4 linked regions of the Callithrix jacchus genome follow. The protein of the gene in region 2 purifies or fractionates together with the protein of the main gene of each other region. This does not show direct contact. Links are inferred from orthologs where the notes say so. Each region holds a gene or a part of one and is shown on either strand. Other genes may lie near its edges.

Region 1 (7,482 bases), on a different chromosome or scaffold from region 2:
GAGACCATCCTGGTCAACATGGTGAAACCCTGTCTCTACTAAAAATTACAAAAAATTAGCTGGGCACGGTGGCGCGTGCCTGTAATCCCAGATACTCAGGAGGCTGAGGCAGGAGAATTGCCTGAACCCACCGGGCGGAGGTTGCGGTGAGCCGAGATCGCGCCATTGTACTCCAGCCTGGGTAACAAGAGCAAAACTCCGTCTCAAAAAAAAAAAAAAAAGTGCGTTAAAATGATGGGAACAAAACGCCCTCTAGTGGTGCTCTGAGGAAGAGCTTTAAATAAGACCTCATTTAAATAACAGTAGACACTTTTAGGGTGCTGTTTTTTGTTGGTTTGTTTTTTGAGATGTAGTCTTGCTCTGTTGCCCAGGCTGGAGTGCAAGCTAGGCTCACTGCAATCTCTGCCTCCTGGGTTCAAACGGTTCTCCTGCCTCAGCCTCTGGAGTAGTTGGGATTACATCACCCGCTATCATGCCAGCTAATTTTTTGTATTTTTGTAGAGACGGGACTTCACCATGTTGGCCAGGCTGGTCTTGAACTCCTGACCTCAGGTGATCCACCTGCCTCAGCCTCATAAAGTGCTGGGATTACAGGCATGAGCCACTGCGCCCAGCCTCAGGGTATTTAAAAGGATGTTCCTTTGGGTGTTTTCACCATTCACACTGTCTTCTCAGCAAAGCTACTGACGGGTAAAACACTGCTGAAAATAACTGCTCCAGAAACCCAGCTCTGCTCCTCCCACATCACCACAAAGGCTAGTTCAGCAAAATCATCACGGCGAACCTGAGACCCAACACAGACGGCTCCGTGCTGCCGGGAGTGGGGCAGGTGGCCGTGATCGCTCTGCTCACCTTCAGTCTGGCCTCCACGGAGGCCTTCTTCCGCGCTTCTCTCCTGCGGTACTGCTCCACCTTGTCCAGCTGGTCGGGGCGCTGGAGCATCCCAGCAACCCTCTGCACTGCTGTCGCAACAGCCTCCCTGTCTGTCTCCTTCATGGTCAAAAGGCAGGTGGAATCCTCACACAGTTCATGCTAGAGGTATTCTGTGTGCACTGCAGGGGTTGTTAGAAAGGTAGGAATGTTAGATACAAACCTCCCTCAGACAACCGGGTGCTCACAATGGAGCTACAAGGGGAGCGTTTGGGATCATTCCTCCAGAAAACCTGAAGGAAAGCTGAACTAGGATTAGGAACTCCTTAAGATAAGTGGACCTTTGTAACCCAAACATGGGAAGTTATACCTTTAAGAGAAGAGCGGGCAGGAGAGACAGGGACATTTGGAAGATTCTAGATGTGGGTCACAGGCCACCCACCATGTAGATGTCAGACTCCAAGGCACATCTCTGCCCAAGACAGGGCTAATTTCTCCTTTCCAGAGCCTTTCCCCAACACCTTGGCCAGGCCTGTGGGCAACTGCACCTTTCCCCAACACCTTGGCCAGGCCTGTGGGCAACTGCACCAGGACTCAGTGAAGACAAGTACAGCATGGGCATCTCCCCCGACCAGGCCCCACAGTCAGAAGCCCAGCACAAGCCCCACAAGCCCCTATAAAAGTCACCATTGTCTTGGGCATCCAAAATCCCATCTCCCCCTTTTTAACGGCCCTAGAAAACATCATGCATCCCTCTTTGCGCAGATCTCGTGAGGACCACAGGTGCTCAGATGCCAGGCAAGCCTGCCTTCCACGCTCACACCACCATCGTCCTCCTCGGGAGCTAAGAGGGCTGCCTGGTGAGCATCTGGTCAATGCAGGAATCTGAGACACCTGTTCCCCTTGACTTTGGCTATTGTTTTCATCTTCATGAATATTAAAAATATCCACCTTCTCCTGGAATTTTTCATTCTCCATGCCCACATGCTTTCAGACACCTCTCTTCTCCTGTTTCATCTGGAGCTACATTGCAACTTTTCCTTTCTCTTTATTTTCTCATGATGAGATTAGGCATTCCAATGTAGAAAATCAGGACAAAGATACGAAGACGCCAGAGACAACTCCTCTGAAATCTCACCACTCAGGGGTGACTCCCCTCAAATCCCACCATCCGGGAGCAGCTCCCCTCAAATCCCACCATCCAGGAGCAGCTCCCCTCAAATCCCATCATCCAGGAACAGCTCCCCTTAAATCCCAACATACAGGGGCAGCTCCCCTCAAATCCCACCATCCGGGGGCAGCTCCCCTCAAATCCCACCATCCCGCGGCAGCTCCCCTCAAATCCCAACATCCAGGGGCAGCTCCCCTCAAATAACACCATCCAGGAACAGCTCCCCTTAAATCCCAACATCCAGGGGCAGCTCCCCTCAAATCCCACCATCGACGGGCAGCTCCCCTCAAATCCCATCATCCGGGGGCAGCTCCCCTCAAATCCCACCATCCGGGGGCAGCTCCCCTCAAATCCCACCATCCCGCGGCAGCTCCCCTCAAATCCCATCATCCAGGGGCAGCTCCCCTCAAATCCCACCATCCGGGGGCAGCTCCCCTCAAATCCCACCATCCGGGGGCAGCTCCCCTCAAATCCCACCATCCGGGGGCAGCTCCCCTCAAATCCCATCATCCGGGGGCAGCTCCCCTCAAATCCCACCATCCCGCGGCAGCTCCCCTCAAATCCCACCATCCCGCGGCAGCTCCCCTCAAATCCCACCATCCAGGGGCAGCTCCCCTCAAATCCCATCATCCAGGGGCAGCTCCCCTCAAATCCCAACATCCAGGGGCAGCTCCCCTCAAATCCCATCATCCAGGGGCAGCTCCCCTCAAATCCCACCATCCAGGGGCAGCTCCCCTCAAATCCCACCATCCAGGGGCAGCTCCCCTCAAATCCCACCATCCCGCGGCAGCTCCCCTCAAATCCCACCATCCCGGGGCAGCTCCCCTCAAATCCCATCATCCAGGGGCAGCTCCCCTCAAATCCCACCATCCCGCGGCAGCTCCCCTCAAATCCCACCATCCCGGGGCAGCTCCCCTCAAATCCCATCATCCAGGGGCAGCTCCCCTCAAATCCCATCATCCAGGGGCAGCTCCCCTCAAATCCCATCATCCAGGGGCAGCTCCCCTCAAATCCCATCATCCAGGGGCAGCTCCCCTCAAATCCCATCATCCAGAGGCAGCTCCCCTCAAATCCCATCATCCAGGGGCAGCTCCCCTCAAATCCCACCATCCCGGGGCAGCTCCCCTCAAATCCCACCATCCCGCGGCAGCTCCCCTCAAATCCCACCATCCCGGGGCAGCTCCCCTCAAATCCCACCATCCCGCGGCAGCTCCCCTCAAATCCCACCATCCCGGGGCAGCTCCCCTCAAATCCCATCATCCAGGGGCAGCTCCCCTCAAATCCCACCATCCCGCGGCAGCTCCCCTCAAATCCCACCATCCCGGGGCAGCTCCCCTCAAATCCCATCATCCAGGGGCAGCTCCCCTCAAATCCCATCATCCAGGGGCAGCTCCCCTCAAATCCCATCATCCAGGGGCAGCTCCCCTCAAATCCCATCATCCAGGGGCAGCTCCCCTCAAATCCCATCATCCAGGGGCAGCTCCCCTCAAATCCCATCATCCAGGGGCAGCTCCCCTCAAATCCCACCATCCCGGGGCAGCTCCCCTCAAATCCCACCATCCCGCGGCAGCTCCCCTCAAATCCCACCATCCCGCGGCAGCTGTCCAACCGGGCGTGTTTCCTTGCAGCCTTTGTTCTTCCCCCTTGGGTTTCTCTTTAAGCGAAGGTCCCACCGCTCCTATGACTTTGTGGGTTCGTGCTTTCGCTTTCTTCCTTTGTTCGGACATTATCGTCAGCATTTCCACTGACATGAAAGCCTGTGTGATCTGGATCCTAGGGCTAGATAATAGCCCAGGAAGTGGACATCCAGCCATTCTGCTGGTGCGCACAGTGAGGTGGCTGGACCCATCCCAAAGCTGGAGTCGAGTCTGTCACGGTGCAGGTAAAGGACAGTCGGGAGCCAAGGTGATGTGGGTGGAGAGCTAGTGCAGCAGAGCTCACCTTGGATTCACAACAAAGCTACTCATGTGGGAAAAGCGAAAATCTGAAGGTAAAAAACACACCACAGAGGTTTCCATCCCAGCCTGAAGATTGGGTCACAGAAGCAAAAGAGGAACTCGGAGGCCATAAACAGAGACCAGGTCCGACCCCTACTAGGGCCCTTCTGACTGCCTTCCCCTGGTGCTGGCTCAGTCGTGAGACTCCACAGAGGGCGAGACACCCCACTGAAGGGAACATCAGCACCCAGGGGGACAACTACGCTGGGTGGGGGGGGGGCACCTCACCGGAGGACACCTGTGCTGAGGGGAACACCTCGCAAGAAGTGGGGGTGACACCTCTGCCAGGCAGACACCTCCACCGGAAGGGACACCTGCATGGAGGGGAACACCTGGGCTGAGGGGTACCTCGCCCAGGGGACACCTCACAGAGGGGACACCTGTGCTGACGGGCACCTCGCCGAGGTGACACTTCACAGAGGGGACACCTGTGTTGAGGGGAACACCTGTGCTGTGGACACTTCACAGAGGGGACACCTGCGCTTAGGGGAACACCTGTGCTTGGGAGCACCTCACCAAGGGGACACTTCACAGAAGGGACACCTGCACTGGGGGGGAACACCTGTTCTGGGGGCACCTCACGGAGGGGACAGCTCCGCTGGGGGTACCCCTGCAACTGGGAGGACACCTGTGCCAGGAGGGACACCTGTACCAGGAAGGCCACCTGTGCCTGGGGGGGGGGACACCTGCGCCTGGGGTGGGACACCTGCGCCTGGGGGGGGACACCTGCGCCTGGGGTGGGACACCTGCGCCTGGGGGGGGACACCTGCGCCTGGGGGACACCTCCGCCAAAAGGGCACCTGCGCCGAGGACACTCGCACGAGCAGGATACACCACGGGGTCCGGAACCGCCTCCCCGCCCTCCGGGCCTCGGCCCGGCCTCCCCCTACGCGCCCCCGCGGAAGCCAGAGACTGGGAGAGCGAGGATGAAAGACGGCGACCACCGCCCGGGGAGCCGAGGGCCGTCGGCACCTGTAGCTGCCTCACCCTCTGCGCCGCCGCCGCCTCGGGAGTCCCGGCCGGAAGTGGACGGCGCGCGGGAACTTCCGCTTCCGTCGAGGCGCCGGAAGGACGAGAGCCGGGTCCTGAGTGCGGGACTCGCAGGCGGCGGTGGCGTAGGGCGTGAGGTAGCGGCAGGTCCCGAAGCGGGACGGAGGTTGAAGCTAAGGCTCCAGCAGCCGGGAGGCGGACGGAGACTTCCGAGTAATGCGCAGGTGCTCTGGGCGGTGCGTCCGCAGTGAAAGGGTGGGCCAGGGAAGCTCAGCGCTCGGCGGAAGCGGACCCGGGGACCTTGCCGGAGAGACCCTCCTCCACCTGGGCCGGAGCGGACTTGAGCGGGAGGGAGGGAGGCACCGGCGCGCCCGCAGCCCTGGCCCTGCTCTGGGAGAATGGAGACCGTGCTTGGCTCCTCCGTAGACCTTCTTAGTGCGCAAATGAAGGTTAGCCACTGCAGAAATAGAAAATTCAGGCAATGGGCCGGGCGCGGTGGCTCAGGCCTGTAATCCCAGCGCTTTGGGAGGCCGAGGCGGTGGATCACGAGGTCAAGAGATCGAGACCATCCTGGTCAACATGGTGAAACCCCGTCTCTACTAAAAATACAAAAATTAGCTGGGCATGGTGGTGCGCCTGTAGTCCCAGCTACTCAGGAGGCTGAGGCAGGAGAATTGCCTGAATCCTGGAGGTGGAGGCTGTGGTGAGCTGAGATGGCGCCATTGCACTCCAGCCTGGGTAACAAGAGCGAAACTCCGTCTCAAAAAAAAAAAAGAAAAAAGAAAATTCAGGCAATGAGGAGGACCCTGTGTTCAAATGTGTCCGTAACGTGAACACAGGTAAGTGCGTCAGAAGCTGACACATTCATAGGAGAGCATCTGAAGCATCGAGAAACACGATTAGAGCTGGAGGCTTTTCCCTTCTGGGCCAGCGAGGCCTGAGAAGCTGGTGTGGCGATGTGACATTTGCTAAACTAAAATTTTTAACTCTCGTGGGATATATTTTTTAAATCCTTAAGTGAGAAGCCAAGCCACAGACTGAGGGAAAACCTTGTCAACATCTGTAACTGACAAAAGATTGCTATCCAGAGTAGAAGCGGAACTCCTGCAGATTAATCCAAAAGGGAAACAAGTGCAGCAAGAAATGGGTAAAGGACAAGAGCCTTTGGCTCCGGGGAATAAGCTGCCTCCCTTGGCCTTCCTCAGGGAGACCTCGTCCCTGCACCCTCCTCACGGGGCTCAGCTCAAGCCTTTGAGCCCCGACCAGGGCGTCTCCACCCACGCCCTGCTGTGTTGTCACTCAGATCTCACTGTGGCCATGCTGCCTCCCCAACTCGCCGTTCAGCTCCAGCCCTGCATATGTCCCGCATAAAACTGCCCCAAAGACCTGGGGCACCCCCAACCCCAGCTCTGTGCACCTGCAAAGCACTGGCCCCTCCCTGCGTCACAAAGTTGACAGGGTTCTCATGGTCACGTTCAGCTGCCTGCACCCCTTGCACGGACGCACACACGGCACAGCACACACCTGCAGACACCAGCTCTGGGATACCACTGACGTCTGCATGTTTTCTCCCGATTGTGTTTGCAGCACTGCGGCAGGGCCTGATATTTAACAGGGATTAAAAAATGCTGCGTGAACGAATCACACATAAAACTGCCGTTTCAACCCTTCAGAAGCCCAGGACTGAAAATGTCTGTCCACACAGGTGCCAGGCCTGGGTAGGATGGGAGCCCGGGAGATGGGGAGGTAGGAGGGAGACCAAGTGGGTGAAGCCCCTCTTCTGGGCAGCGCCTGGTGAGATGAAATTGCATGTGTCCGGCAATTAGGCTCACATCTATAATTCCAGCACTTTGGGAGGCTGAGGTGGGCTGATCACATGAGGCCAGGAGTTTGAGACCAGCCTGGCCAACATGGTGAAACCCAGCCTTTACTAAAAATACAAAAATTATCCGGACATGGTGGTGGATGCCTGTAGTCCCAGCTACTCTGGAGGCTGAGGTGGGGGAATCACTTGAACCTGGGAGGTGGAGGCTGCAGTGAGCCAAGATCACACCACTGTACTCCAGCCTGGGTGACAGAGTGATACTCCATCTCAAAAAAAAAAAAAAAATTGTGTTCATCCTAACTCCATGCAGGCTCACTCAGCAGAAGCCAGACTGGGGGTGAGGAGTGAAAATGTGGGAACTCCATCTGCCAGAGGCCACAGAGGAGAGGGCATGGGGGGAGGGATGGGCTAAGGTATGGAGCCACCGATGGGAGGGCTGGCCTGGTCTCCGGGGAGGACATGGGAGTCTTACACCAGTGACCAGGACAGGGTGCAAAGGAGGCCTGGCAGGGGCTGCTAGGACTCTAAAGGTGCCTGAGAGGAAACAGAAGCAGTTCCATGGGCCTTGGGCTGCCATCTGTGCTTGAGGAGGCCCCAGCAATTTTTTTATGGCATTCGGGGAGGAGGCA
Region 2 (6,996 bases):
ATGCTGACTGTTGCTCTTGAGAGGTGTATGTGCTGACGTCAGCTCTTTCCTCATTTCCCCCAGGTTCCAGTTCCGCGTACTCCACATAGAGTGTCAGGGATGGTACTGTTAACGATACTGTCCATGTAGCATTGTTATGGTATAGCCAGCAGCTATCTAGTCATTTTCTGGTCTGTTGAAATTGAGGTAGTTAGGTCTCTTTTGTAGTCCTGGTTTTGCTGTGAGTTTGTACATTTTAGAGTTACCCTAATTTTCCAGGAGCGCTAATGTTTCATTACCTAATCTCATTAAACTTGCTTATTCCTGGGATAAATTGTGCTGTGGTGGGTGGAGCAGCTGGTGATGGGGTGTTACTTCTATCCTGCCTCTGACCTCCCCAGTTCCCATCAAGAGGAGAGCACAGATTAGAAATCACTTCGGTGATCTGTCTCAAGTGTCAGTACCAAGGAAGGGACCAAATGGTCACTTTGAAATAAGAGAAAGCATAATATTTACTTTAAATGAACATGCTTGAAATTAGAAGACACCATTAGAATTACAGGATTGGGTTTTCTAGACGACAGGAGTTCCTGCACATATAAAAATGTTTTTTTCCATTGTTAAGGATGTGAGATCACTGGGCAGGTATGAGTTCCACTGATTGATGTGTAATGCCACCTGGACTTTCCTTCCCATCTTGTACTATAGGAAAATTACACTGTTCTACAGACCCGACTACACTGGCGGCAGCCACAGTTTCTGCAACAGCATTGCTGTTAGTTCTTGCAGTTCCTGTGTGACTGAGACAGTTGAGAGTCATTGTCCAAACTCACTAGTGTTGGAGACCTTTTTTTTTTTTTTTTTGAGACGGAGTTTCGCTCTTGTTACCCAGGCTGGAGTGCAATGGCGCAATCTCGGCTCACCGCAACCTCCGCCTCCTGGGCTCAGGCAATACTCCTGCCTCAGCCTCCTGAGTAGCTGGGATTACAGGCACGCGCCACCATGCCCAGCTAATTTTTTGTATTTTTAGTAGAGACGGGGTTTCACCATGTTGACCTGGATGGTCTCAATCTCTTGACCTTGTGATCCACCCGTCTCGGCCTCCCAAAGTGCTGGGATTACAGGCGTGAGCCACCGCGCCCGGCCCTGGAGACCATCTTTGGGTGACGAGAAAGGACCAATTTCCAGACCTTGGTGTGGCCAAGGCTGGCAAATGTCGATGAAGGTTTGCTCTGTAGCCTATGAGGCCAAAGTCATGGCCATCCACTCCAGTTAGACTTGTTCTGTGGTTGTACACTGATATTCAGACCCCACCAGCTGCCTTAAAATTGGGTGTTCTTGGTGTGAGAATGTGTGTGGATTAGCACATGGGGATTTTTATGAGATGACCTTTGTTGATGCCTTTCTGGTGGCATTATCTGTGACATCAGCCTCACATATGAAGAGCACCCCTTTTCTTTAATAGTTTTATTTTCTTATTAGTAGCCCTAGAGAAGAAAGACATAAAATGCATTTTGTGAGCTGCTGGTGATTTTTATCTATTTGCACAAATGTTGGTTTCACTGCTCTCATGTATTTTATTACTGAATATATTATCTAATAATCAGAATTAGGAACTTTTATTGTGAATACAATAACATTTACAACAGAATAATAATGTATAGACAGATGTTATCTCTAAAAATTATGATCTCATAACTTATAATTTCTCAAGTATTTGCATAAATTAAAATTCTCCACATATAAATACATATATTTTGGCATACATAAACTTGAAATTTTATAGTTTTAATTTCTGCATATAAATTTTTCTATATGTCTATATTTTATTTACTTATGAGTAGGTTTTCTTGCTGCACTTGTTTTCATACTTTTTAGAGGAGTTAAAGTTAATAGTTGATAATGTTTTACCCCTTTAAAAATAAAAGGAGAAAAATCTAAATTTGAGCTCACATACTTTTTGCCCCAAATTTCATTATACTAAAAACAAGTAAAAAATTTTTTTCAAATGGCGCTTGGTTATTTAACATCCAAACCTAACATATAAGTAATTAACCTTTCAAAAACATTCAGTCCCCTTTACATATCTATTCATTTATGAGCCTCAATTCATGAAGTTTTTATTTTTTAAATGATAAATACTTTAAAATAATTTTCTTTGACAAAAAAAGTTTTAACTCTAATCAGATTTCAAATATTAATTTAGACTCCATTATATGGTTTGGTGGCAAGAAGGTAATGTATTTTTTCTCATCTTATAATAGAAATGTAACATTCTACATTAAATAGCATGTGGTGCAAACAGTTATCTTGACAAAACAAAGTTTTTATATCAGGCCTTTAAAATTTCAACAGAATTTAAACATTATTTAGATAAAACAATCATGTTACAAAGACGACTTTTAACAGGATCAGGCCACCCACAGTGTGCACTAGAGAATATGGCATGCAAGCCACCCAGTGAGACTGAGGCAATTTTTTCATCTTTGCTTAAAGTATAGTCACTAGACCAGATAATGTAGAAACTTTTTACAAGCAGTGATCAAACAACCGAAAACAGTTTATCTTTTTTCTCTCCTTTCGTTGTGACTAATTAAAACTAATTTACAAGTTGCAAAACTATTTTTGTACACAGCAAATTTTCCTTTAGATAAAGGTGCTCTTTCATTACAGTGATTCATTTAGTTTGGGATCTTTTAGGTAAAAATAAAAAGACTTAGGAAATATGCAGTTCATGTATACTTTTATAAGAATTAGCTGATTGAAAAAATATTCATGATGGTGCCTTGACGTTTATTATTTGTAAATTGCTTATGTAATTTTCTTTGCTTGCTACATAGAGATGATTCTGGCAAGAAATAGAATTAGTTTTAAATAGTTCTTTTGTTCAACTTTTCTGAGAATGATTTTTCTTGTTTTGTTTATTATCCCATATGTAGATACTGAGTCCACAGAATTTAGCTCATGTACATGTGTATGCACACACATGGATATCTGTGTGTTTTTCTCCATTGTATGAAGTTCTGAAATAACCTAGGTGCCCACAATTGCTACAAAATTTAGAAGATTAACGAAAATAAATGTAGGTTCACATTAGAAAATTTATTTGGCCATGGTAAATATGTTTGTTTTTATATTGGATACCATTCTTAACATATGAAAAGACTTAGGCAAAATGGAAATTTTATTTTAGCAAACTATAGAAGATCTCTGATATAGCTAACCTTAAAAACCTTCTATTGAGTTTTAATGTAAAGCTATAATAACAGTCTTAATATTTTGTTTCTAGTTCCCAGTTACACATTTTCTGATTAAAATCAGCTTTCATCTAAGTCTCCTTTCCTCCCTTTAAAATAGGAGCAAGTAATACTGCGGACACATTGTTTCAAGAAGTATTAGGTCGGAAAGACAAGGCAGATTCCACTAGAAATGCACTCAATGTGCTTCAGCGATTTAAGTTTCTTTTCAACCTTCCTCTAAATATTGAAAGGAATATTCAAAAGGTAGAGTCCATATTTATTTATGTACATATGGTTATAGATGTCATATATTTTTAAGATATTTAAAAATGTTTTTTATATTAACCAAATGTCTTCATTTTGCATTACTACCAGTTTTCAAAATGTTTCTTTATTTTAAAGGGTGATTATGATGTGGTTATTAATGATTATGAAAAGGCCAAGTCACTATTTGGGAAAACGGAGGTGCAAGTTTTCAAGAAATGTAAGATTTGTTTATTACTTTTAGATCTTCTACTTTCCTTTTATAGGAAGAATGTGGAATGTGTTCTGCAAAGAATGTTATAAGAGTTTTAGTTTTTGTTTATATGGGGCTCTTTCTAACAATTACTTCAAAAATAACAGTATGACTTTTCTTGTTTGATATATAGTGAAAATGAAAACTACAACGATAGGTTAGTCTAGGACGTTCTTTGCCATTTGTTTGTCATAACGCTATTAAAAACTCTTAGTTTACTGGAAAGAATCAATGACAAATATTTTGTAGAGTTGGAAACTTACATTTTAATCTTACGTCTTCAGAGAGACCAGTAGACTTACGAATTCTAACTCATTTAAAGGAAACACAACAACTTTTGAAATTATTTTTAATGCTAGCGTTACAGAAAAATAGAAAAGTTTAAAATGCTCTTTGGTTAAAGCCTTATCCACCAGGAGAAATATCACAGGGCCTTATTAAATTCAAAAATGAAAGTTGTAAGGACTCAGAAAACTAAATTTTTTTTTATTGTGGTAAAATGCAGTGAAATGTTACCTGTTAGAGGTCCGTGAGTTGCGACAAATGCATACACCCTTGTAACCTACACCCGAGATAGTGTTCTGATCATTCTAGACAGGGCCCTGGGGCCTCTATCTTAATCAGCCTCTACCCCACAAAAGCAACTACTATTTTGCTTTCTGAAATTTGATTTTAAATTTCCATTCTGTAAATCTTGCATATTCTTTTCTTTTTAAATAGATTATGCTGAAGTAGAAACAAGGATTGAAGCTTTAAGAGAATTACTTCTGGATAAATTGCTTGAGACACCATCAACCTTACATGACCAAAAACGTTACATAAGGTAAATCTTCTGCAAAAGTTTTGTGGAATCACATATATCTCTTTGGTACTAGATGTAACCCTTAAGGCTAATTTGAGGGACTTTAGGATATTGATGAAATGGTGAAAGGGAAGACAAATAGCAGAAATTTAGGGGTACCTGGAGTAGGATACCAAAATTCTTTTGAATACTAATGGCCTTGGGAGTAGTTATTGAGTTACTTTTTAAGAAAACTCTGCCATTTGGGAGAAAGGAAAAGTAGCCCGTTTGCTTAGTTACCTCTTCCTCCTGCTGAGCAAGGGTTACCTCACCTAGTGGGATGGTTTGGGTACCCACATTTTGTGAAATTGGGGCTCCTTGTGTGGCTTAAAGCTGAATACTGTCACACACTGGATGGGAAATGCATTATGCCACAAGAATGTGTTGTTGTTTAACAGCAGAGTAAATCCTGCAAGGTTTTAGCCTTGAATAGCTGTTTGACTTCCAAGCCTTCAGTGTCAGTGATAGAGAAATAAAAGTCACTAAGTGAGCATACTTTAAAAAAAAAATTACAGTAATGTTAAGAGTGGTAAATGTCACAGGATATGAAGAGAAGGACTTATAGAAAACTGGTATACATAATAGGACTAGCTGTTGACTTTGGGCAACTAACTTGAGTTCTGTTTTTTAGTTTCTTCATCTGTGAAATTGACCTGGTACTCAAATCTGCATCTCAGGATAGTTGCAAAGATAATCAGAAATACATTTAAGGATTTAATACAGCACTGAGCACATAAAATGTCATCAGAAAATTTTATATACATGTAGTTTATGTCAGGATTTGGAGACAAAGCATATAAAGTTTAGATTTTTTATATCTGTATTAAAAATATTAATTTCATTTTCTACTGGGATTTTTTGAGTATGGCCTTTGTTCTCAGAACAGGTTATTTTACAGATTTAATGGTTTTCCTCTTGAATTCATGAAGTTTATTGAATATTCAGTGGTTATAAAATGATAGACAGTGTATTTATGAATTTAGCTGTGGTCCCCATGTGACCTTTGAAAATAATGTCTCAGGAACTGGCATGGTGGCTCACATCTGTGATTCCAGCACTTTGGGAGGCCAAGGCAGGATTGCTTGAGTCTATAAGAGTTTAAGACTAGCCTGGGCAACATAATGAAACCTCGTCTCTACAAAAAAAATCAAAAATTAACCAGATGTGGGGATGCACACCTGTCATCACAGCTACTCAGGAGACTGAGGCAGTAGGATCTCTTGAGCCCAGGGGTTTGAGGCTGCAGTGAGATGTGATCATGCCACTGTACTCGACTCTGGGTGACAGCAAGATCCTGTCTCTGGGAAAAAAAAAAAAAAAAAAGACTGTCTTGGAGAGAGGGTTTGGCCTGAAAGCTGCTGTGTATGCAGTTGTGAACAGGGAAAGGATCTATAAGGCGTACGGCAGGAGTATGAGCCATTGTCACTGGTAGCACACTAGTATTGCCCAGGAGGAAGCAAGCAGAGGCACTGGCGGTGGGATAAAGAGAGGGCTGTGTGATTGCATGCTGCCACCCCTGCACGTGTGTTGCAAGCTCCGGCACTGGGCAAGATGTGTTCTGCATATCTACTCTAATCCTAATCACCGCCATGAAAGGATGCTTGTGTGGTGCCCATTGTACAGGTAAAGACACTTAAGCTTGCCCAGCACACACAGTGACAAGGTGTGGCTCTAGAGCCTACCCTTGCTTCTCTCTAAGCTGCCTCCATAAGAAAGAATGTATATGGGGGATTTTCCTGGTTTGCAGACTCCTAGAAATTTAAACCTGGAAATAAACCACACTTCAGTTATCCAACTGCTTCATTTCTACCTAGAAAGCTACAGAGTTCCAGGGAGGTTGAGCGTTGTGTCCAGGACACGCAGCTGGGTAGTGTCAGACGTCCTGAGGCTGCTGTTTTCCCCTCTGTTCCTTCACTGTGTGTGCTTTGTGTATTTCTAACCGGTTTACACTTGTTATTTTAAACCTGCCCAGTAATGTGTTAAATATTATTGAATGTGCAAATTCTTTATGTTGTGAGTTACTGTAACTCATGTGTAGTTGTTATGACTATTTAACTTACTGGATATCCTTTAAAAGGTGGTGGTGGCAAAAAAGATTCTTTTAAATAGCCTTTTAACTACCTTTTCTCCTGTCATCTTAAAGGCAAAAGAGCAGAAATATAAACAAGTCAACAATAGTTTTATGTATTTTTTAATGATTATTTTATTTATGTTGCTTTGAGAAGACACTGAACAATTGTTACATTTTTTAAATTAAATTTTTAGTCACTAAGAAATAGAATAAGATGAGAACTAGGCCAAATATCTGTTGGACTTTGACATTTATGAACACCAAGTAGGACTAGAGATAGCTTTATTATGAACAAAAATGTATTAGTTTTCTTTTGTAGTCCAAGTTATGCATGGTACAAGTGAAAATC
Region 3 (6,996 bases), on a different chromosome or scaffold from region 2:
CCTGCCAGAAGCCATCAGAAGTCTCCGTTGCCCTGGGCTCATGTGCTGCCCCCAAACTTGGCAGCAGGGATCTCTCCCTCCTAGTTCACAGTTCTCATTCCTACCCTCAGTGATGGAATTAGAGTTCCAGGCCCACGCGGTGAACGAGATTGTGAGTGTTAAGAGGGAATATGTAGTTTATGATCTGAAGACCCAAGTCCCACCCCAGCAGGTGGTGCCCTGCTTCAAAGTGACGGTGAGTCCAGTCGGGAGGCTGACAGAGGGCTGCTGGAGGCGGTGGGCATGAGGCAAGGCCAGAGGCCGGGCCCCATGCCCCCGCTGCCCACCTCCCTCCTCCCCCTGCGAGGCCCTGGCTTTTTCTCTTTCCAGCTGAGCCTGAAGAACACGGCACTCAAGTCCATCATTGCTCTCTTGGTGCCTGCGGAGGCGCTGCTGTTGGCTGACGTGTGTGGGGGGCTGCTGCCCCTCTGGGCCATTGAGCGCATTGCCTACAAGGTGACCTTGCTGCTGAGCTACCTGGTCTTCCACTCCTCCCTGGTGGAGGCCCTGCCAAGCTCCTCCTCTTGCAACCCCCTGCTCAGTAAGCCCTGCTCCCTCACCTGGCCTGCCCTGTTTCTCCCCACCACCCGCTGGTGCTCAGCTGGCTGGGCACCAGAGACACAGGGACTAGCCTCTGATCATCTCCCCATGCCCTATCTCCCCCAGTTTACTTCTTCACCATTCTGCTGCTGCTGCTCTTCCTCAGCACCATGGAGACTGTGCTGCTGGCTGGGCTGCTGGCCAAGGGCAGCTTTGGGGCCAAGAGCAGCCCCAGCCCAGCCCTAAGAGGGGAACATCGAGAACATGGCAACTCAGGGCCTCATCCTGAAGGTAGGCAGGGGCTGGGGGGTAAGGAATGAGGCCTAGGAGCACACCTAGGGCTGGGGTGAGGGTGAGGGGCTCCAGGCATGTGTAGAGGCTCCCTGCATTTACCCTGCTGGCTTTTCTGTCCCTGGTCACCATCATGTCCTCCTCCCTTGGAAGAAACAGGTCTGGGGCAGGGAGCAAGCTTAGCCTCCCTTTAGTCCCAGGTGACCTCAATGCCCTGATAACCCCATACCTTCCACGGTCTGAGAGGGGTTTCTTCAACTGAAGATGGCCTGAAATGGGTCAGACCCAAATGTATATCACCTGGGAATCTAAGAAAGGGAAAGATAGGCTGATGACCCCTGGGGTTCACTCTTCTGATCATGTTGGGGGGACCCTGAAGAACAACTTCTTTCCCTGCCTCTTTCCCCACAGAGCCCCCCAGGGGAGTAAAGGGGTCACAGAGGAGCTGGCCTGAGACTGCTGACCGCATCTTCTTCCTGGTATATGTGGCTGGGGTGCTGTGCTGCCAATTCATCTTTGCTGGCATTTGGATGTGGGCAGCGTGCAAGTCTGACCCAGCCCCTGGAGAAGCTGCACCCCATGGCAGGAGGCCTAGACCATAACAGGGCAGGGCCTGGGCTGCACACCTTAGGGTGACGTTTGCCGTCCCATGGCTGGGGGAGGCCATGACAGGGTCTCTGGACAAAGCCACCCTGAGCTCTCCCTCCGCCAGCATACAAGCAAAGTGTGAAATAAACCCATCCCCATGTGCAAGTGTGCCTCAAGGGGCAGTCTTCATTCTCGTCCTAAATAGGTGGAGTCCTATTTTTTGCTTCCGACCTCTACTTTGCTCCTGACCTTTTGCCCATTGTCCCTGTCTCCCAGGCAGGCAGTCTAACTGCTCCTTCTGCAACATGACTGCTTGGCCCTGGGCCAGGAGGCACTGAGGCTGGGGACCGGAGACACAGGTCTGAGGGAGGCTGCAGAGGGTGGAGCGAAACTCCTCCAAATGCCTCCTGCAATGTGCTGGACTCCAGGGGGAATGGCCAGTGAGCAGGCCCGCACCCCGGCCACCTTGGGGACTCCTGGGAGATGGAAAGGTCCCAGACCTCAGGCCTGTGGGCGAGTGGGAATGTGTTTTCTGCACTAAATCCAAGAGAGGGGTCAATGCTGCCTGCCTTCTCCAGGGGCTCTGGCCCTCTGAGCCCCACCACATTTCTGGGCTGTCGGAGGAGTTCTCTGGCCCCACCTCTGACCTAGGCTGGAGGTAGGGCCATGCTGCCCTCCTGCTCTTGGTACATGTGGGGCAGCAGTGGGCACAGGCCTGTCTTCCTTCTCTCCCTTCCTGTTTCAGAAGCCATCAGGGTCACCAAAGCCAAGGTATGAAGGGACTCCAGGCTTCCAGGAGAGTGCTGGTTTGGTTGGGAACATAGGGTGTGGGGAAAGAGTGGAACCCAGGACTAGATGGCTCAGGGACATGGCTCCTGGATGGGGTGTTGGAGATAGGACTCTGTCCCAAAGGGGCCAGAGGCAACTTAACACTGGTTTATCTGTCCAATGACATGTCAGTCTGGTGGAAACAGGCAGGGCTAGCAGCAGGCTCAGGCAGAGGTGTCGAAAAGGCGATCGATCATGTCGCCCACCTGCTCCACACCGTACTTGATGTACTTCTCCGGGTTCTTGGTGAAGGGCACACTGCCGAACCTGAGGGGGCACTGCCGTCAGGGGACAGGGAAGCCGACCCTCCCCAGCACCACCCTCAGCCTAAGGCACTCCTGAGAGTCTCGGAAGGTGTGACCCAGAGTGATTCCCTGTCCAGCCCCGCCCCAAAGCCCAGGGTGCTGGATCTGCGGCCTAAACCTGTCACCCTTTTCCTTTTGCCCTTGAGGAAGAGGAGCTCAAAGAGCCCACTGTGGCCGTGGGCAGCACAGGCTGGGAAGGGGCTCACTTCTGCAGAAAGGCCCCATAGGTCTCCTTAACAATGGTCTTCTGGGCCTGGCGAATCCTGTCCCTCTGCTCCATGTCCGGAATAGCCCAGGCCTTCTGGATTTTGCATAGTTCTTCAAGGCCATCATTGAAGCCCTGGCCACCAAAAAGGTGAAAAAGGAAGGGACCCAGAGACAAAACTTTGGGTCTGTGTTGTCTCAAAAACAGCAGCAAGCAGTGGAAAGGAGAGGACCTCAACTCACCTTAAAACGCTCCTTGATAATCTGACGCTCCTTGTCCCGGAGCTGGGAAGCCAGGAGAGATAGTAGAGAAAGCTCAGTTCAGAGCAGGGCAGCCTGCCCGCACTCTGTTCCAAACGCCCTTGGCCTGGGCTTCTCTCCTGTGCCCTGATGGCCATACACATCCTTTGCTCTCTGATCCCAGAGGGACGCTTGTCCTCTTTTCCCAGAGATACAACAAAGTATCCAGTCTGCTAAACACCCATTCCCAGCCCAGGCCTTGAGCCCACCTTGACTCCCGGCTGGAACACAGGTAGATTCTTCTCTGCGATGTAATCGGTCACCTTTAACCAACTGCCGGACAGAAAGAGAAGCATGAGGGCAGAGGACGGCCTGCCTCGGTGGCCTGGTTTGTGTCATTTGCCAAATCTCTGGATCTACTTAGTGGTTGGTGGTAGGAAGGGATGTGGGTCACAACTAAGCAAAACAACAGATTCTCTTCCTGGGAATAGAAAATGTTTAAACAGCCCAGACGCAGTGGCTCTCACCTATAATCCCAGCAATTTGGGATGCTGAGGCAGGCAGATCACCTGAGGTCAGAGGTTCGAGACCAGACTGGCCAACATGGAGAAACCCCATCTCTACTAAAAATGCTAAATTAGCTGGGTATGGTGTTGCATGCCTGTAATCCCAGTTACCTGGGAGGCTGAGGCAGGAGAATCACTTGAACCCGGGAGGCAGAGGTTGCAGTGAGCCAAGGCTGCGCCATTGGACTCCAGCCGGGGTGACAAGAGTGAAACTCTGTCTCAAAAAAACAAAAAACAAAAACAAAAAAAACAAACAAAAGAGAAAATGTTTAAACTGGTCACTCATTGAGAAAACATAAGGAAACATTTGAGTGTTCAATAAACTGAACAAATACTGTCAACTATATTTCACATCAGTATCATGGCAAATTAAGACGGAGAAACAGATGGGAAAGAAAGGAGTGAGTGGAGGGGAGATAAACAAGAGGGAAGAGGGAGACACACTCAAAGGGAAGAAACAGAGCCAGGAAGAAAGAGGACCAGAGAAGCACAGAGACCCCCACAGAGCCAGGAAGAAAGAGGACCAGGGAAGCACAGAGACCCCCACAGAGCCAGGAAGAAAGAGGACCAGGGAAGCACAGAGACCCCCACAGAGCCAGGAAGAAAGAGGACCAGGGAAGCACAGAGACCCCCACAGAGCCAGGAAGAAAGAGGACCAGGGAAGCACAGAGACCCCCACAGAGCCAGGAAGAAAGAGGACCAGAGAAGCACAGCGATCCCCACAGAGCCAGGAAGAGGACCAGAGAAGCATAGAGATCCCCACAGAGCCAGGAAGAAAGAGGACCAGAGAAGCGCAGAGATCCCCACAGAGCCAGGAAGAAAGAGGACCAGAGAAGCGCAGAGATCCCCACAGAGCCAGGAAGAAAGAGGACCAGGGAAGCGCAGAGACCCCCACAGAACCAGGAAGAAAGAGGACCAGGGAAGCACAGAGATCCCCACAGAGCCAGGAAGAAAGAGGACCAGAGAAGCACAGAGATCCCCACAGAGCCAGGAAGAAAGAGGACCAGAGAAGCACAGAGATCCCCACAGAGCCAGGAAGAAAGAGGACCAGGGAAGCACAGAGATCCCCACAGAGCCAGAAGGAGGACCAGAGAAGCACAGAGATCCCCACAGAGCCAGGAAGAAAGAGGACCAGAGAAGCACAGAGATCCCCACAGAGCCAGGAAGAAAGAGGACCAGAGAAGCACAGAGATCCCCACAGAGCCAGGAAGAAAGAGGACCAGAGAAGCGCAGAGATCCCCACAGAGCCAGGAAGAAAGAGGACCAGAGAAGCACAGAGATCCCCACAGAGCCAGGAAGAAAGAGGACCAGCGAAGCGCAGAGACCCCCACAGAGCCAGGAAGAAAGAGGACCACGGAAGCACAGAGATCCCCACAGAGCCAGGAAGAAAGAGGACCAGAGAAGTGCAGAGATCCCCACAGAACCAGGAAGAAAGAGGACCAGAGAAGCGCAGAGACCCCCACAGAGCCAGGAAGAAAGAGGACCACAGAAGCGCAGAGATCCCCACAGAGCCAGGAAGAGAACCAGAGAAGCACAGAGATCCCCACAGAGCCAGGAAGAAAGAGGACCAGAGAAGTGCAGAGATCTCCACAGAACCAGGAAGAAAGAGGACCAGAGAAGCGCAGAGACCCCCACAGAGCCAGGAAGAAAGAGGACCACAGAAGCGCAGAGATCCCCACAGAGCCAGGAAGAGGACCAGAGAAGCATAGAGATCCCCACAGAGCCAGGAAGTGGACCAGAGAAGCACAGAGATCCCCACAGAGCCAGGAAGAAAGAGGACCAGGGAAGCACAGAGACCCCCACAGAGCCAGGAAGAAAGAGGACCAGAGAAGCGCAGAGACCCCCACAGAGCCAGGAAGAAAGAGGACCAGCAAAGCGCAGAGACCCCCACAGAGCCAGGAAGAAAGAGGACCAGAGAAGCACAGAGATCCCCACAGAGCCAGGAAGAAAGAGGACCAGAGAAGCGCAGAGATCCCCACAGAGCCAGGAAGAAAGAGGACCAGGGAAGCGCAGAGATCCCCACAGAGCCAGGAAGAAAGAGGACCAGGGAAGCGCAGAGATCCCCACAGAGCCAGGAAGAAAGAGGACCAGGGAAGCGCAGAGATCCCCACAGAGCCAGGAAGAAAGAGGACCAGGGAAGCGCAGAGACCCCCACAGAGCCAGGAAGAAAGAGGACCAGGGAAGCACAGAGATCCCCACAGAGCCAGGAAGAAAGAGGACCAGGGAAGCACAGAGATCCCCACAGAGCCAGGAAGAGGACCAGAGAAGCGCAGAGATCCCCACAGAGCCAGGAAGAAAGAGGACCAGGGAAGCACAGAGATCCCCACAGAGCCAGGAAGAAAGAGGACCAGGGAAGCACAGAGATCCCCACAGAGCAACGCCCAGCCAAGCTCAAGTGCTCTCCTAACCCTGAGCTTCTCCTAGGCTAAACATGACCCACATCTGTGACAGCCGGCTCTTCAATTACTCTTGGCCTTGACACTTGGTAGGCTCCCCTCTAAAGTGGCTGGCCACAGTGGGCCTCTAGGAGCAGGTAGTTGCAGACGAGGGGGCTTCTCTCTCCACCCCATGAGTTTGATTAAAAACCAAGTGGAAGATTAGGGTCCAGAGGGCAGTTCCCCATGACTGATCCCTCTGTCCTGAGGTGCTGAGAAGGAAGACTGGTTGGTGGCACAGGGTTGGGGTGAGGACAGAGACGGCTGGGGTTCCATGCAGGGCAGGGCGAGGCCAGCCTCTCACCTGCGCTGGTAGGTCTGGACCTGCTGCTCGATGTGCTCCCGGTAGGAACGCTCGGCAGTCTTCTGCGTCACTGCTACCAGCTGGATCAGCTCGGACCTGGGTGGGGGCGGGGGACAGAGAAGAGAAGGACAGGATTGGCACCTAGGTGCAAAGGCTGTAGCAATGCCTGGGGGGGCCTCCCATTGCACCCCAAACTCCATGAACTCTACAGCAGCAGCACTCCCACCTTCTGGGTCCTGGGATGGAGGAGACTGAAGTACCCCCTCCCCTCCCGACCACAAGAGAGGGAGCCCAGGAGGGCAGGGGCTGGCACAGCTGCACAGCTGAGGGGAAGGTGAGAGCCACAGACTCGCTCTTGCAGGCCACTTACTTCTCCAGGGACTTGAGGATGTAATTGTAGTTGTTGTGCAAGAAGATGGCGCTCAGAGCGGGGTCCTCATAGACCTTGGACTTGCTCAGCAGGTTCAACTGCAGGTTGCCCAGCACTTTACCTGCATAGGGAAAAGTGGGGCCATCCCCACCATGGTGGTTTGACCCAAATGACCCCATCCCAGGACCCGCTAACCCACCCTTATCCATTGCTCCTCATCCTGCTTCAGAAGGCCTTAGCCCAACTCCCCTCGGCCTCTGAACTAGAGGTCAGGTTGTGGTCCCAA
Region 4 (7,617 bases), on a different chromosome or scaffold from region 2:
AGGTCTCTGCCAGTCCAGGAAAACTATGACAGAGACTTGTTGGAGAGAGACCCGGAAATCTCTCTCTCTAGCCTTGGCCTCCATGGAGGCCTCTAGTTGTAGAGTTGGGTACCTCTGGCTAAGGACCTGTGAAGGAATGACCCTACCCCTTGCCTGGCTCCCAGGGCTGTGGCCCTCCCTAGATTTGGACACTCAGATGAAGACAGTGAAAAAGTCATTGTTCTTAGGGACTTGTCACATCCTGCCTCCTTAGATTCTAAGAAGGCCCCTGGAATTGTAGGTGAATTAAGATTTTTGAGAAAAGCAGTACTAGTCCTTAAGCAGAGAGGTGTGGATAGACTTGGAAGTTTGAAGATTTGGGTTGGTGTTTTAGTTCTTGGCCTCAACTCATTTGTAGGTCAAAGATGGTCTAGTTGAGCCACATGACCCCTTCCAGCTCCCAAATTCCCAACTCAATTCATGCCATCATTATTGTTCTCCCTATCCCCATGTCTCCTCAACCTTGGCACCCAAAGTAGCCACCCAGTGGGAGAGTTTCCTTTCCCATCAGCTGTGGGCTCCAAGCTCCAGACCCTGCCTAACAGATTACATCAAGGTTTCAAAGGTCATAATCCATCTCATCTGAAAAGGGGACTGTCTATATCAGACAGCTTGTGGACATAATATTGAATTAAAGTAATCCTGAGATCCATGTGTGTGTTTCACTTCTGGAGATAAACCCTGGTTAATGTTTATTCTTGAGAGTAACTGTATCATGACTGTTCAGCAAAGAAATACAGACTAATGTATTGATTGACACTAGAAAAGTCGAGGGGTAAAATCTAGTTTTAAAGTTGACAATTCCCTGAAACCAGGCTGCTTCCCAATTTCAAGCTTGTCCTAACTCTCTTCAAGTTGCTCCCACTCTGAATCTAAACATGTCCTTAAGAATCAAGAGCATGTTAACTGGAGGAGGTGCAGTATTCTCAGGACACAGGTAGGCATTCACTTTTCTGAAGTGCACCATTGCAGATTGCCAATGAAGATTTAGAAATTCCTCCTACGATCCAGGCATTTTTCATTTGTTTGTCTTTTGGCTATTTCATGTTTAAGCAGCATGTATGACCTTTACAGCACAACTCCTGTCTTGTTTTTAACTCTTTTTATCAGGAGATTCAACTTGAAAACGGTTATCATTTAGCAGAAAGACAAACAGAAAAGCACATTTTTGTAAGCAAAACGTTAATGATTGGAAGAATTGCCCTAATTTCACCATGACAGTGTGTGATTAATCCCCTGGGTCGTGTACTTATACTTTAAGTTATTCAGTTCATTGGTCTTTGATATTCAGAACCCTTTCTAACTTAATATGATATTGATTTTGTTGGATGATGTACTTTGACTCTTTAAACAACATCACTTTTAGAGATGACTAGTCTACTGTGTAGTATTTTATTTAGAGAACTATTGCATAACATTACTTTTTCTTACTTTTTATGGTTCTCTCAGGGTGAAAGCTGATAACACATCTTGTGGGAAAAGAGGAAACCATCTCTGATAGTGAAAGTACCTATTCTCTTTCAACTTTTCTGACAAGCTTTTGTGTGTGTGTGTGGTTTTCATTACTGTGAATATTCATCTTAGGGCATGATTGGGCAGGATAGGGATTTAAGAAAACTTATTTGGACTTGGGGAAAATGCATTTTGCTGGGGACAGAAGACACTAAAATTCCCATTCCAGATATATTGCCATGTGGAAATTGATGAACTCAAAATCTCCTGATTTTGATTTTTTTTCAAGATCTAATAATCAATGAGCCTTTAAATCCGTGGTTGGAGTTATTTATGTGACTACTGACAATATGGGACAGAATGTGAAAACCAAACAATCACCCAGGATGCTTCTAAATGACTGGGAGTTCAGGCCAGGTGCAGTGGCTCACACCTATAATCCCAACACTTTGGGAGGCTGAGGCGGGCAGATCACCTGAGGTCAGGAGTTTGGGACCAGCCTGGCCAACATGGTGAAATCCTGTCTCTACTAAAACGACAAAATTAGCAGGGTGTGGTGGCACGTGCCTGTAATCCCAGCTACTTGGGAGGCTGAGGCAGGAGAATCCCTTGAACCCGGCAGCGGAGGTTGCAGTGAGCCAAGATTATGCCACTGCACTCCAGCCTGAGCAACAGAGTAAGACTGTCTCAAAAAAAAAAAAAAAAAAAAAGAAAAAAGAAAAAAGACTAGGAGTTCAGTATTTTGTAGTCAAAATAATCACGTTGTACTGATATTTATTTTTCAGTCCATAGAGGTTTTAGGAAGTCCCATTTGGACTCTGTATATGTCTAATTTTTTCCCTTGACATGTATTTTTTTGTATTGTTGATAAACCCAAATAAGAAGCACTTTGGAGACTCCTCCTACTCACCCAAAGATCTGAGACCCCAGGTCCACAGAAAGAAGAGCAGCTACCCCTTCACATGTGGCTGTAGGAAAACCAGAATCACACCGTTGTGGATGCAAGCATGGCTCGCAGCAAGACAGATGGAATCCCTACCCCTCTCTTGCTGGCTGGGGCCCCGGGGGACAAACTCATCCTCAGCCTCCGTCCCTCAGTTCCTAGAGCGGAGCGTGGCTTCCCCGAGAGAAGGCGTCCGTCCCATGCACGCAGTGGGCCCGAGTGTCAGTCAGAAAAGCTAGACAGCCCCAGTGATTCCTTCTTTTGAGACAGCTCTTGGGTTCGCAGTTGCAGGCGGGAAACCTGCTCAGTCGGATGTACACAAATCTCTCTGGACAATACAGAGGGCTGCGGCAAGGGGACCTTGGAGCTGGCAGAGGCATTTCCTGTCTGCGGAGGATCTTGACTTTGGAGCATCCGGCCGTCGCCGCGAGCAGCCGAACGCTTTCCTGCGTTGCTACTTTAAAAAAAAAACAAAAAACAAAAAGAAGTCACTGCAAATATCCCGCGACTTTCCAGATGAAAGCCAATGAAGCCGCTTCCCACTTTAAAAACATTTGTTTAAAACGTATGTTCTATCCATTCCTTAGACTCCTTTTTATTTTGGAAGGGGAGTTTGGTATCCTTGAAAAACCATAAGTATTCAAAAATCTCATTCTCTCTGAAGTCAGCTTTTTAGATGAACAAGTACGGGAAAGAGTTAACGGCAGAGGGTCCCTCCTCTGCTGCTCGCAGACGCTTGCAGTAGGAGATGCTCATAACCTTGTTTGTGTTTTTCTATCGGGGTTTATGCCCTTCCATCCTCCTTCTCCTCCCCACTTTTCCTTCCTCATCTTATTCATTCCCTTTCTCCTTTCCCCTCCTTGCCTTTCAGGATTCCTCATCTTCATTCAGTTTACTTCCCCATTTAGAATGGAAAATGACTAATCTCCATTCTTTAGATGTCACTACTGGAGCCAAGATTTTCCTGAAATTTATGGAAATGTTCATCTTTTAGCTGAGGTGAGAATCCTAATTGAGGGGAATGTTGCTGGAGCCCTAATGCGTTGCTCCCATCCAGCCGGGGATAAATGTTTAATTTATTTTATTATTAAGCAATAATAATAACATAGGCTGGGACTGGTGGCTCACACCTGTAATCCCAGCACTTTGGGAGGCCGAGGCAGGCAGATCATTTGAGGTCAGGAATTTGAGACCAGTGTGGCCAACATGGTGAAACCTCACCTCTTCTAAAACAAATACAAAAATTATCCGGAAGTGGTGGCAGGTGCCTGTAATCCTAGCTACCCCGGAGGCTAAGGCAGAAGAATCACTTGAACCTGGGAGGCGGAGGTTGCAGTGAGCCGCTGCACTCCAGCCTGGGCCACAGAGTGGGACTCCATCTCAAATAAATAATAATAATAATAATAATAATAATGATAATGAGAACATAAATAGAAGAGTAATAATCCCTGTGTCCTAAGGTCAAGGCACTCAGTAGCACTGGAGTGTAACGGAGCTGACAGATCTGGAATAAGGGGTGAGCAGCACATGCTGTGGCAGGGACTCCCAACCAAAGAAAACGAAAAGGAATGGTGTTCCACGGAGAAGGACGGTCCTGTCCACAGGCCTGGAGGTGAGAGAGGGTGGGGAGTATGCATGACTGAACTCCAGAGATTCTGAATTTCAGAATTTTGAATCAGGGATTGCGGACCTAGGTTTGCTTTACCCACCACACAGTTATCTTTGTTTTTGCATTGGCACTTTCCTCTCTCTGGAACTCTCTTCCCCACCAGATATAGCCTCATGGCTTGCTCCCTCCTCTCCTTCAGACATGGCCTTCCCTTTGCCAGCCTTTTTGCGATGGCAACCTCCTCTTCCTATCCCCAACCACAATTTAATTTTTTCTATTTCACTTAATGCAATGGGATATAATATTTTTACTGCCTTATTATTTGTCTCTTCTTGCTGATATATGAACATCATGAGGGTAGGGATTTTTGTCTGTTTGGTTCACTGCTATGTATCTTCAGCCTGCCCTATTAAGCACTTGGTAAATATATGTTAAATTAATGAATTACTGAGCATGTACTATGTGCTGCTAAATATTATGCGAATCTTTCACTTGCTTTATATCATTTAATCATCAACGACCCTATGAAGTAGAGGCTGTTATCAACCTCATTTTCCAGATAAGGAAACTGTCACCGAGAAGTTACACCCAAAACCTCAATTACTATACCGGTCAATGTAATGAGAATTTCCTCACTGAATCGGTTGCACTCTTAAGAAGGTATCAAATCAAGTCTAATTCTAGCTGTAAGAAAAGAGTTGAGGTTTTTTTGCTTATCTTATTTAATCTTTTGCCTTGATTCAATCTAGCATTATATCTGGAAGGAATTATGATACAGCATCAGGTATAAGCAATTTCTGTGTATGTAACATATTATTCTATTACATTAGAAAACTAATAAGCTGAGTGAAGTATCATTTCTCCCTCAGTTTTCTGGGGGAAATGAGCATTATAAAATATATTTTATATCTTTCAAAGTGTTAAAAAAAAAAGTTGTCTGGGTGTGGTGTCTCATGCCTGTTATCCCAGCACTTTGAGAGGCCGAGGTGGTTAGATCACGAGATTGGGAGATTGAGACCATCCTGGCCAATATGGTAAAACTCTGTCTCTACTAAAAATACAAAAATTAGCTGGGTGTGGTGGTGTACTTCTGTAATCCCAGCTACTCTGGACACTGGAACGTCCGGAGTAGGAGAATCCCTGGAACCCAGGAGGTGGAGGTTGCAGTGAGCGGAGATAGCACCACTGCACTCTAGCCTGGCAACAGAGCAAAATTCTGTCTCAAAAACAAACAAAAAATGTTTTCCTCTGGTTCATGTTATTTGGTGTCGCAATTACATAAACTATTTAGTATAATTATGTTTATTCTTCATCTGGCCCATGGAGGCCTGTTCCACAGGGGACTCTGGCATCAACATGGCAGTGTGATGGCTTACGATTTGTGTCCCCTGCATCCAGCACTATGTTTGACCTGCCGTAAGCTTTTAATAAATATTGTACTACAGAATGAAAGTGAAAGCCATGTGCCCTTCCTCAAGGAGAGGAGAGCCATTTCCCTCCCTCCCCAAGCCCTGCACCCTCATTATACTTCCCATTCCTTGGCTACCAGAAACACAGCTTGCCTGGATGGCTTTGGGAGCACAGCAGAAAACAGTGGGTAGGGGCCATAAGTGCTACAGAGACACTTGGCAGGTGCCAACTTGGGCCACGGTGAGGGGAGGACATATTTAGGTCTATTTAAGGTTAAATAAGCACTAAAAGAAGATGTTCTCTGCCATCTTTTTACCAGCATAAATTTGAAGAGGAAGTGCTTCTGTGGTTTTATTGGCCATTTTTCCCTTTCACACTTGGCAATTTCATTCAATTTCCAGTTCACAATTCTCAATTTCCATCAAGAGTTTTATTTAAAATCTACCCAGTTTACTGGAAACAAAAACAAAAACAAAAACAAAAAACCCAACACTATTTGGAGTAGGCTGTGATCACTGCTATTTTTATCAGCATCATCTATTTAGAAAATGGAAGCAGGAAACCCAAATATTTTTAAGTGATTTCTGAAAGTATTTTATGAATTGCAAAGAAACGATTGTAGAAGGAACAGAAAGTGTATTTGCTTTACATGCTTTTTCAAATTTTTAACTTTCCTTAGCTGCGTATGGAATTTGCATTACTATAGACTTTCCATTAATTGTAGATTAGACCAGACTAATTCAATAAATGTTTAAAAAATGGACCCTGAGTGCAGGTTCAGACATCTGGAGGAAACGACTTGATGATACGGAGGTGGAAGGGAGTGAGAAGTTATGATGATGTATGGTGCTGTTGATTAGTTAATTGAAGGTAAAATTTTTAGCTTCACCAAGCAATTACCTGATCTCATTAAGGTCTTTAAAATCGCCTAAGTACCAATTTGCCTGAGGCAGCTGCCCCTTGTTTAGATGTTATTTTAGGCATTAAGAAAAACACAGTGCTTGTTTCTTCATAGAATAAAGATTAAAAAAAAAAAAAGAAAAAGAAAAACACAGTGTTAATAGTGACCAGGGAATTTATGCGTGCAATTTCTGGTGTATATTGTTCTGAATCTTAGCCATTATTCAGTATTATCCATCCTGTATAAACATGAGGCACTAAAATATACCGGCATTTTGTATGATGTTTTACTTTTCAAATGTATTTTAAAGCATCATATTTACAAGAGAGTTTTTTTTTTTTTACAAATGAAATTTGTAAAGATATATGGATTGTCAATTTTTTCAAGAAACTACTTCTAAAAGTATAACATATATATTTTAAAAGCTCACAAATCATAGGTGTGCAGCTTACAACATCACTATACTGTGTAACTGGAATCTATATCTTGAAATAGAACATTACCAGATCCCAAGGAGCTCTCTTTATGCCCCCTCTAGCTCACTATCCCCAACCTCACTCCAAGGGACTGCACTAACCCGATTCCAAATGGCATAGATTCATTTGCCAATTTTTGAACTTTACAAAAGTAAAATCCCACAGTATTTTCTTTTTCATCTCTCCTTCCTTTAGTTTTTAGGGTTTTTTTTTTTTCTTTTCGGAGACCGAGTCTCGCTTTGTCCCCCAGGCTGGAGTGCAGTGGCATAATCTTGGCTCATTGCAACCTCCACCTCCCAGGTTCAAGGAATTCTCCTGCCTGAGACTCCTGAGTAGCTGGAATTACAGGTGTCTGCCACCGTGCCTGGCAAATTTTTATATTTTTAATAGACATGGGGTTTCACCATGTTGGCCAGGCTGGTCTCAAACTACTGACCTCAAGTGATCTGCCTGCTTGGGCCTCCCAAAATGTTGGGATTACAGGTGTGAGCCACTGTGCCCGGCTGCCCATTCCTTTAGTTTTTTTGCTGGTAAAATTCATCCATGTTATGGTGTGATGTTGTTTGTTCATCCTCAATGCTGCATAGTAGTCCATTGTACGAATTTGCATGTCAGTTGAAATAATGCATCTAAATATAAAAACTGCACCATAAAATTTACATTTGAAAACAATGACACTGCTCACATTTTATTGGACTCCAAGACTCCTAAGTGGAGAGAAGGAAAGACAGCAGAAAGACCAGGAGCATCAGGCTGTCAAGAAACAAATTACTGAAACCTTTCACAT

The links.
Region 1: the proteins of EXOC2 (region 2) and EXOC3 purify together in Homo sapiens (affinity purification with mass spectrometry; 6 studies listed by BioGRID and IntAct, counting the BioPlex papers as one, with this or other methods). This does not show direct contact. The link is inferred for Callithrix jacchus from reciprocal best matches to the Homo sapiens genes EXOC2 and EXOC3.
Region 3: the proteins of EXOC2 (region 2) and EXOC7 fractionate together in Homo sapiens (co-fractionation; 4 studies listed by BioGRID, with this or other methods). This does not show direct contact. The link is inferred for Callithrix jacchus from reciprocal best matches to the Homo sapiens genes EXOC2 and EXOC7.
Region 4: the proteins of EXOC2 (region 2) and EXOC6 purify together in Homo sapiens (affinity purification with mass spectrometry; 5 studies listed by BioGRID and IntAct, counting the BioPlex papers as one, with this or other methods). This does not show direct contact. The link is inferred for Callithrix jacchus from reciprocal best matches to the Homo sapiens genes EXOC2 and EXOC6.

Annotation. Positions count from the first base shown.
Region 1 is NC_133503.1:205,623,355-205,630,836, forward strand, and holds the start of EXOC3 (exocyst complex component 3), read right to left. Parts: upstream 5,066-7,482; 5' UTR 4,839-5,065; intron 4,026-4,838; 5' UTR 3,629-4,025; intron 1,053-3,628; 5' UTR 997-1,052; coding exon 853-996; intron 1-852. UniProt on the Homo sapiens protein: Component of the exocyst complex involved in the docking of exocytic vesicles with fusion sites on the plasma membrane.
Region 2 is NC_133505.1:31,115,876-31,122,871, forward strand, and holds part of EXOC2 (exocyst complex component 2), read left to right. Parts: intron 1-3,336; coding exon 3,337-3,482; intron 3,483-3,620; coding exon 3,621-3,702; intron 3,703-4,455; coding exon 4,456-4,558; intron 4,559-6,996. UniProt on the Homo sapiens protein: Component of the exocyst complex involved in the docking of exocytic vesicles with fusion sites on the plasma membrane.
Region 3 is NC_133506.1:131,985,624-131,992,619, forward strand, and holds part of EXOC7 (exocyst complex component 7), read right to left. Parts: intron 6,832-6,996; coding exon 6,711-6,831; intron 6,437-6,710; coding exon 6,341-6,436; intron 3,369-6,340; coding exon 3,305-3,368; intron 3,081-3,304; coding exon 3,039-3,080; intron 2,932-3,038; coding exon 2,798-2,931; intron 2,554-2,797; coding exon 2,451-2,553; 3' UTR 1,473-2,450; coding exon of another isoform or gene 1,282-1,472; 3' UTR 871-1,281; coding exon of another isoform or gene 706-870; 3' UTR 581-705; coding exon of another isoform or gene 370-580; 3' UTR 236-369; coding exon of another isoform or gene 41-235; 3' UTR 1-40. Other genes in the region: ligand-gated cation channel ZACN, read left to right, coding at 41-235, 370-580, 706-870, 1,282-1,472. UniProt on the Homo sapiens protein: Component of the exocyst complex involved in the docking of exocytic vesicles with fusion sites on the plasma membrane.
Region 4 is NC_133513.1:85,428,422-85,436,038, forward strand, and holds the start of EXOC6 (exocyst complex component 6), read left to right. Parts: upstream 1-2,835; 5' UTR 2,836-2,999; intron 3,000-3,305; 5' UTR 3,306-3,433; intron 3,434-3,894; 5' UTR 3,895-3,961; coding exon 3,962-4,046; intron 4,047-7,617. UniProt on the Homo sapiens protein: Component of the exocyst complex involved in the docking of exocytic vesicles with fusion sites on the plasma membrane.